Linked DNA regions of Daphnia pulex. The protein of the gene in region 2 purifies or fractionates together with the protein of the main gene of each other region. This does not show direct contact. Links are inferred from orthologs where the notes say so. Each region holds a gene or a part of one and is shown on either strand. Other genes may lie near its edges. The genes, in order: paxillin-like and tyrosine-protein kinase CSK-like.

The links.
Region 1: the proteins of tyrosine-protein kinase CSK-like (region 2) and paxillin-like purify together in Homo sapiens (affinity purification with mass spectrometry; 4 studies listed by BioGRID and IntAct, with this or other methods). This does not show direct contact. The link is inferred for Daphnia pulex from reciprocal best matches to the Homo sapiens genes CSK and PXN.

Annotation. Positions count from the first base shown.
Region 1 is NC_060022.1:1,457,456-1,461,274, reverse strand, and holds part of paxillin-like, read right to left. Parts: intron 3,785-3,819; coding exon 3,611-3,784; intron 3,194-3,610; coding exon 2,963-3,193; intron 2,821-2,962; coding exon of another isoform or gene 2,707-2,820; exon of another isoform or gene 2,195-2,706; intron 919-2,194; coding exon 798-918; intron 598-797; coding exon 452-597; 3' UTR 1-451. UniProt on the Homo sapiens protein: Cytoskeletal protein involved in actin-membrane attachment at sites of cell adhesion to the extracellular matrix (focal adhesion). Recruits other proteins such as TRIM15 to focal adhesion.
Region 2 is NC_060018.1:1,948,370-1,952,967, forward strand, and holds tyrosine-protein kinase CSK-like, read left to right. Parts: upstream 1-1,484; 5' UTR 1,485-1,835; coding exon 1,836-1,891; intron 1,892-1,971; coding exon 1,972-2,191; intron 2,192-2,289; coding exon 2,290-2,424; intron 2,425-2,492; coding exon 2,493-2,629; intron 2,630-2,691; coding exon 2,692-2,859; intron 2,860-2,921; coding exon 2,922-3,117; intron 3,118-3,487; coding exon 3,488-3,574; intron 3,575-3,646; coding exon 3,647-3,829; 3' UTR 3,830-4,472; downstream 4,473-4,598. Other genes in the region: polyprenol reductase-like, read right to left, coding at 1-63; thioredoxin-like protein 4A, read left to right, coding at 631-708, 766-902, 967-1,180. UniProt on the Homo sapiens protein: Non-receptor tyrosine-protein kinase that plays an important role in the regulation of cell growth, differentiation, migration and immune response.

The DNA.
Region 1 (3,819 bases), on a different chromosome or scaffold from region 2:
GAAAGATGAGCCGATAGAGGCAAAAGACGTTGGCTGGAAAACCCCCCCAAAAAATGGTTAACCGATTAACCAGGAAAAAAATTGGTTTCATGGGATGTCGCCCTAAGAATATTTATGGTAGAAATCGAATAAAGATTTATACTGTAATGTAGTAGTGTAAGTATATAGAAAATGTGTCTGCGTGTCATTTTCTTTTCCTTTTTTTATGCGCTGGTTTCCTTCATGGGGGGCGTGGGCGGGCGGGGATTACATTGAAAAATAGAATTCGATGTGGATTGAGTGGGGGGGGGGGGTTATCTTTTCACATGTGTTATTACATTGTAAACGTGGAGTCCGTCGTCAGTTGTACTTCCCCACCCAATCATTAAAAAAAAGAAGAAATGAATCATTTTTCAAAATCATTATTGTTTGTTGTTGTTGTTTCATTCCCTTCCGGAATTGTTTTGGTTTTTCATCCGAATAGGCGCTCGAAACATCCGTGGCAGTACGGCTTGTCTCCTTGCTCTTTGAACGTGCCCTTCTTCAACTGTTTCAGGCAATAGGAGCAGACAAAGTGTTCCGGGTGAAACTTCTTGAACATGGCCGTGATGCACCGACCTGATTTTGTTTTGTTTTTCGCGTGATAACAAAAGAACAATAACAAACAAATTCATTCACATCGTATACAGCAGTTACAGTATAATGGGTGAATAGAGAAAATGAGGTTAAACGGTTGTTGTTTTTTCACGCAAGTGTTATGGGGGGGGGAGGGGGATGTCTATTAAAGAGAAAATAAAGAAGAAGAAGAAAATCGTTACCGGTAATCGGCTTATGGCATCCGGCGCAGAGCGAACCTCTCTTGGCGTGGTAATGGATCTCACAGTAGGGCATACCCTCGTGAACGAAGAACGATCCGCCCTGGAACAGCATGTTGCAATCCTGCAAGTTGGAATGGTGGGGAAAAAAAAAAAAAAATAACAATTTAATAATCGCATTAGCAAAAGATCCATATTTGCTTAATTACTAAGTGAGGGGGGGGGGGTAATTGTTGTTTTTAATTAGACACCCTTAACGTCACCCGTACGCCGTTTGTTGTTGGAAAAGAAATGCCTTTCATTGAGTCGCTTTTAAAAATAAAATGTTAATAACGACTACAAGGGAAATGGCGAAGGAGGAGCTAGCAGAAAAGAGGGTCAAGAGCCCGAGACTAAGTGATTGTTTGACAGCCAACTACTGGTCGTAGTTAGTAAAGCCTCTCCAAAGAGCCCAAAAATAGGCGAAAATAAAAAGAAGAAAAGTCCGCGCCATTCTGCGGCGAATTTTCAAAAACCCGAAAAAAAAATATAACTTTTTTTTTTCGTACGTGTCTTTTATGTTCTGAGAATAGAAAAAAGGAGAGTCGAGAGAAAGGATGTCTTTATTTATACGCTTTCGCCAGCCTATAGATAGTATCCCTCTTCTTCTACTTCGCTAGAGCGGCACCGGAGAAATCTCTTATGACACGCCATGCGTCATCCGGTCGTTTACAGTTCCTCGAAAGCTGGCTTCAAAAAATTTTTTTTCTGCTGGTAAAGATCGACCGAGGGAGGAGGGCACAGCTGTGCAAAGCGCTTTATTCAAACCCCCGGGTCCAAAAGCTTTAAAAAGCGATGACAACAATCAAATGGACAAGACTAGCGCGCAAAAAAGAAGCCAAAATACAAAAATAACGAATTCTAATTTTGAAAGAAGAAGAAGCTCAAAGGTAAGCAACTTCATCCCGGCTCGGAGCTTGTCTCCGCCCTCCCACGACTTGACTGATTTATTCAACCCGGCTCTACACACACAAAAAGAAGAAGAAACCCATTGCGTGAACCGAACCATGGGGAGTTCACGAGAATGACGAACTTGCCTTTTACTTTGCAGCGCTCATTTTGCGTAACGATGTGAACTCATCCGCATCGTTAAAATAAACCCACCCAACGGGTGTGTGTGTTGTATATAGAAAAGAAATGTGACTGAACTAAACGAACTGTACTGCTACTACTACCCCGCCAAACCAGTCCAACTATACCATCCATCCAATAGTGCATGAGCCTCCCCGCCACCGAAGAGTCGTTAATCTTTTGTTTCTTTTTTGTTTTATTCTCTGACTATATGTACCAAACTGGAAAAAGTAGCAGCAGTAGAGTAGTAGTATGATTTGCTCGTTCGAGTGGAACTCTTTTTTCAGGTATTTTTGGTTTTTGGTTTAACTTGTTTTCTTTCATTGTCATTTTGTGCGAAAAAGATTCATCATCGCCAACATACATAACAAGACACAACACACAAAATGGAGAGAGAGAATAGAGAGCGAAAGGGGGATAGAAAGAAGAAAAAAAGTCAGAAGAAACAGCCAAAAAATGAGCCAATAATAAATTTGTTTTAAATAAGAGGAGGCACTTGGGCATGTCGCGCGGTGGGTGTGTTGTTATTTTTCAGGACTAGAACATCATCATCATTTTTTTGGTTTGTCAGGTTTCTTATTTTGTAAAATAAAAACTCGGGACTGTTTTTTCTGGTGGGAGTGGCCAAAACTACTTCAAGAGGAGCGAGAGAGAGAGAGAGAAAAGTGTGCGAAAGGAGAAGTGAGATAAGAAGCGCCGTGTGTTTTTTTGGGTTTGTGTTTTTCTTCTTCCTTGAAAATTTTCAAACACATTTTGGTTTGTTTTTGTTTTGTTTTTTTGTTTTGGGGTCACGGGGGTCACTTCATTGGCTGTCGTCGTCGTCTTCGGCATCGGAACCGACGCCCATACACTTGCCGCAAACTGGGCGCGAGTCGACCGTGTAAAAAGATCCGCCGTTGAGCGAAACGCGACAATCCTTCTCGGTCAAGAGATATATAAGAATGTCAACAACAACAACAACAACAGCGAAACGGACACACGTTACTAATAGGATTGTCTAGAAGAATAACCTACCTTCCAGGGGACAACATATCTGACGTCAATAAGGAAAAACTTACCCTGCAGACGAAACAATTGGGATGCCACTGGCCGTTGAGAGCCGAGATGTAGCCCTCGGTGATGGCCGTGGAACAGCCTTTGCACTTGAGGGCGAACATGGCCAGGTAGTCCTCCTTGCAGTATGGCTTGCCATCCTTCTCCTGGAATCCATCCTCGCCAAACTGGCAGCCGCATTGGGTGCAGAAAAAGTGATCCGGGTGCCACGTCTGATCCAACGCCGTCACGCATTTCTGTAATGGAACCAATTGGCGACGCGGGGGCGATAAAAGAAACACAACGTCCGAAAAAAAGAAAGTTAGTAGGAACATGTTAGGAAAAAGAAACAACAACAAAAAGAGGCTGCCAACAAGAACAAGTTTTCGGGTGATGAGGTGAACCAGACCAGCTGTCTGACACCGTCGTCCATCCATTCATCCGTTTCATCAGTCAGCCAACGTGCGTGACTCTTGTGATGGCTTCGCTCAGTTCGTTCGGGGCCACTTAAAAGTTCTATTTATACATTCTGGATAGTGAGAGAGAGAGAGAGAAGAGCTCTCCCGTCCAGGACCAACTGGACCCAACGCGTGTGTGAAATAGGGTCGGAATTTGCCAAATCAATTGGGCCCGCGGTGGGTGTTGAAACAACCAGGAAAAAGGCAACAACGTACATCTAGAATGGGTCCGTTGCAATAAGCGCAACGGGGCGAGAAGAGGTGGTGATAATCGGGTTCACAGTAAGGCTGGCCGTCGCGTTCGAAAAAGTTTTGCGTTCCCAACTCCTGGCGGCAGTGGGAGCAGACAAAGTGCTCCGGATGCCACGTCCTACCAAGAGCCGTCACCACCTGAAAACCCCACAACAAAACAAAACAATACAAAT
Region 2 (4,598 bases):
ACCAAGAATGGAACTCATGCTCAACAAAATAAAGATGGTAATAACAATGCTTATTGTGATCATGGCCGGTGTTGAGACTATTGGCTATCTTGAAGGAATGGCTGAGTTATTAATTCGTTTAGATTGAAAGCATAGTCGGTTTTCAACAGGTTATGTAAAAAGAGATTTGATTTTACGTAAAAGCACAACTGGTTTTTCGGGTTTCTGAAGGCGACCCCGTGCCATGAAGTCTGAACGAAAAATTGAAAACAAATGATAAGAGGAAGGGGGCCAGGGGGGGAATTCGAAAGTATTGCCACTTGCCAGATCTTAAGAATAATCCCTTATTAGAAATAAATTTTATTTTACTTTTAAAATGTTTTATTAGTAAAACTTTAAATATTTTATAGTTAACTATACACATTTTTATACTGTTAAATATGTTTATATTCCTTGGGAGTTGGGAATGAATTTGTAAAGAAAGTGGATGAAAATTTCACACACAGATGTCGTGTTACTCGTGAAGTTGACAGACGCATTATTTACCTTTTTCGGGTTTCTGAAAGGAAAGGTTTGAAAACGTGAAGCGAGATCTATTTCTAAGCACTGTTCAGCTTTTTCTTTTTTCACGACCTTTATCAATCAAACAATATGTCTTACATGTTACAGCATCTTGTTAATGGTTGGCAAGTAGATCAAGCAATTCTTTCAGAAGAGGACCGTTTAGTGGTAAATCAAACTTTCTCTAGTTAATATTACTATCAATTTAAACATGCTTTACTACAGGTTATTCGTTTTGGTCATGATTGGGACCCAACTTGCATGAAAATGGATGAAGTGCTTTATCAAATTGCAGAGAAAGTCAAGAACTTTGCTGTCATCTATTTAGTGGATATCACCCAAGTTCCTGACTTCAATAAGATGTAATTTCATATTTACATTGTATGAATGAATCCCAATAATGATTTTCACTGTTTTTCTATATAGGTACGAGTTGTATGATCCTTGCACAAACATGTTTTTCTTCCGTAACAAACACATTATGATAGATTTAGGCACTGGTAACAACAATAAAATCAACTGGGCAATAGAAGATAAACAAGAAATGATTGACATTGTGGAAACAGTCTATCGTGGAGCCAGAAAAGGTCGAGGTTTGGTTGTTTCACCGAAAGATTATTCTACCAAATATCGCTATTAACTGTGTTGTTCAATTAAATGACACTGGATTAAAAACTAATAAATGATGACACTTTTGAATCCCCATTTTCATAAATTGTTTGTCTCATAAATTGACCATCAAGTAAACACATCGTACAACAATCGTTACAACAATTACATTATATTACTTACGGTTAGGTTTCCGAACAGTGATTTAACTTACCATGAAAATTTATTTCAATTATTTTATATTTTACGTATACCGTACGTAGTTATTAGCAGGTAACGAATACTTCCCAAAAAGAACTCGAGATAGAGTGACATGTCCATTTAGTTTAAACTTAAGCCACTAGGTGCTCGACACTATGGCGGCAGTCTGTTTCCTGCCTGTTTCTTGTTTCGCCCCGTCAGATTAAATGAATGTAACCGTTTCAATAGCTCGGTTAGAACAATGTGTCATATACCCCTAAGTGAAGACATCAAAACTTTTTACTTATGAATGTGCTGATCCCCATGAAAGTACCATAAAGTGAAGAGGATAACAGGTGTTTACAGCCGGTGGCCGTCCAACAACGAACTTGTACTTATTGAACTCCGTGTGCACCACTGTATATTTTTGTTGCCTTTGAGGTGTGTCTGAAACGGTTTTATCTTCCTTTAAAGGTATAAGTGTGAAATTGAACTACTCTTAGTGAATGCCTTCAAACAACGAAATGAACAAGAAACTAGAAGTAAAACTTCATGCAATGCCGTAAGTGTCACAGCCTTTCCCATTACCATCATTCAATATCATGCTGTTGATCATTAACTATGCTTGTTTTTCTTTTTCAGCTGGTTCCATGGGAAAATTTCAAGGGAACAAGCAGAAAACCTGCTACAACCAAGAGAAGATGGTCTTTTCTTGGTTCGTGAGTCTACCAATTATCCTGGAGACTACACTCTCTGTGTCAGTTATCAAGGGGAGGTTCAACATTACAGAGTCATATACAAAGATAACAAACTGACCATTGATGAAGAGGAGTTCTTTTCTACCTTGGCAGAGCTTGTTGAAGTAAGCTCTATTCTGCTTTTATTAATTAAAACTAGGAAGTTTTAGGTTTATGACTATCTGAATGGCTAATATTGATTTTTCTTTTGAACAATATTTAGCATTATGAAAAGGATGCAGATGGACTTTGTACCCGTCTTGAGAGGAGTGTTGCTAAACAGGGCAAAACGGACTTCTGTGTTGATCGAAAGGACTTTGAGGAAGCAGGCTGGATCATTCAAGAAAAAGATCTCCAAGTAAAAGAAGAAAAAAACACCTCAAACATTAGCCAGTTTTCACTAAATTAGTTTTCCCCTTTAAATAGCTTAAGGAGTCAATAGGGAAAGGAGAATTTGGTGATGTGATGCTAGGTTCTTTTAAAGGAGAAAAAGTAGCTGTTAAAATATTGAAAGATTCAAGCAAAGCAGCACAAAAATTTCTTGCTGAAGCATCAGTAATGACGTAAGTAGGAAACATTTTACAAATTTTCCTTAAATAATAACATCTTCAATTCTGGGATATAGATCTTTACGTCACCCGAATCTAGTTCAACTACTTGGCTTGGTGTTCAACGATCAGCATCAGCACCTCTACCTGGTCACAGAATTTATGAGTAAAGGAAGTTTAGTAGATTACCTTCGCTCAAGAGGCCGGTTACATGTCACCAAACGAGATCAAATCAAATTTGCCTAGTAATATTACTTTCTTGTCGTATTGTTATACGAACCTCATTTATTCATTTATACCTCCGTAGTGATACCTGTTCAGGAATGGAATATCTTGAATCGAAAAAAGTTGTTCATCGAGACTTGGCGGCCCGAAACGTCTTGGTCGCTGAGACCGGAGATGCTAAAGTTTGTGATTTTGGATTGGCTCGCGAAGAAATATACAATCAAGAGGGAGGCAAGTTCCCCATCAAATGGACAGCACCAGAGGCATTGAGACATAGTGTAAGTATAGTTTCCATTCGAATTTGCTTATTGAGATGGGTTATCTAATTCAAATATTTCTCAGTTAATGCCCAATGATTTAAATGCTGTAAAGAAACCTTTTGCAGAAGTACTTAGTTTTTTTTCAGTTTTTAACAAACTAGGAAGATTTTTTTACCTTTGTTTTTAACAAACTAGGAAGATTCATCAAATAGTTACACACAGGGCTACAACTACAGATACGTTCAAAATTGTTAAAGAAATTTTTGTCTAGTTTCCAACTTTCTATCTCAAAATAGAATGGAATGTTGTAACAGCATTTTCTAATCGTCACATTTGTGGTTTCGTTCACCACGTATTTCGTCATTAACATTCCACATATTTATCACAGAAATTTTCCAACAAGTCGGATATGTGGAGTTTTGGGATTCTCCTGTGGGAAATCTACTCTTTCGGACGAGTCCCTTACCCGCGTATTGTAAGTTTATATCCTTATTTGTTTCTTAGCAAATAGATTCAATTATTCGATGTTCTTTGTCTCTGGTTTTAGCCTCTTGCAGACGTTGTGAAGCACGTGGAAAAGGGCTACCGAATGGAAAAACCTGAGGGTTGTCCGCAAGAGATTCATGACTTGATGAGACAAGCCTGGGACCTAAACGCTGATCGGCGACCCACTTTCAACCAAGTCAAGCAACAGCTGGCCCAACTCAAAGACACTCCTAATTTCGTCTGAACCAAATGCACTTAACCCACTGATTCATTTGATACCCCACCTTTCATTTCCTTTCCAGTCTGTCGACGGGGTTCCGTGACCAATGAAATCAAACAAGTAATCAATTACGAAATTGGGGAAACATGGCGAAAGTAATCATGAATTGGAGTTGTTTGCCAGACGTCAATGGGGTATCGAGCCGATCCTCTCTTGAACTTGGAGAACCCACCAGGAAAAGAGGTAAAATTAAACTAAGGTTTGCGCTTCAGATCAAGAATTGACAAACGTGCCAACCATCATCAGTTCGAATCCATCGTTATCTAAAAAAAAAGCCTATCTATAATTTAAAAAATTCAACATCGAAATCACCATCCAAAGAAAATTAAGCCACAGTGCAAATCAAGCCAAGACGTTGCGACGTCATCGGAGCTTCCTTTTGCCCCATCTTCCTTGATCATTCTTTAGGCTTCGTTTTAACACATTTTTTTTCCAATCGTCCTGAATATCCGATCAATCTGCTATTAATTTTTTGTTTACGATAATGTTACGATTATTGCCTGCCTTGACCGTGTTAACTGTACATAATCTGGTTGTGCTTACCTCTGCTGTTTGGTTCTTTTTGAAAATTAAATTAATACGTGTAATACATTTATATACGCCTTTACCTTTTTTTTCCTTCAAATGTTTTTTTAAGTTTTTATTAGACAAATTAGACAATTTCAGATTTCTTAACGACTCCTCCAGTCGTTTGTACAAGTAAGCTTTTTTTTTTAAAAAAAAGCCCTTTCAT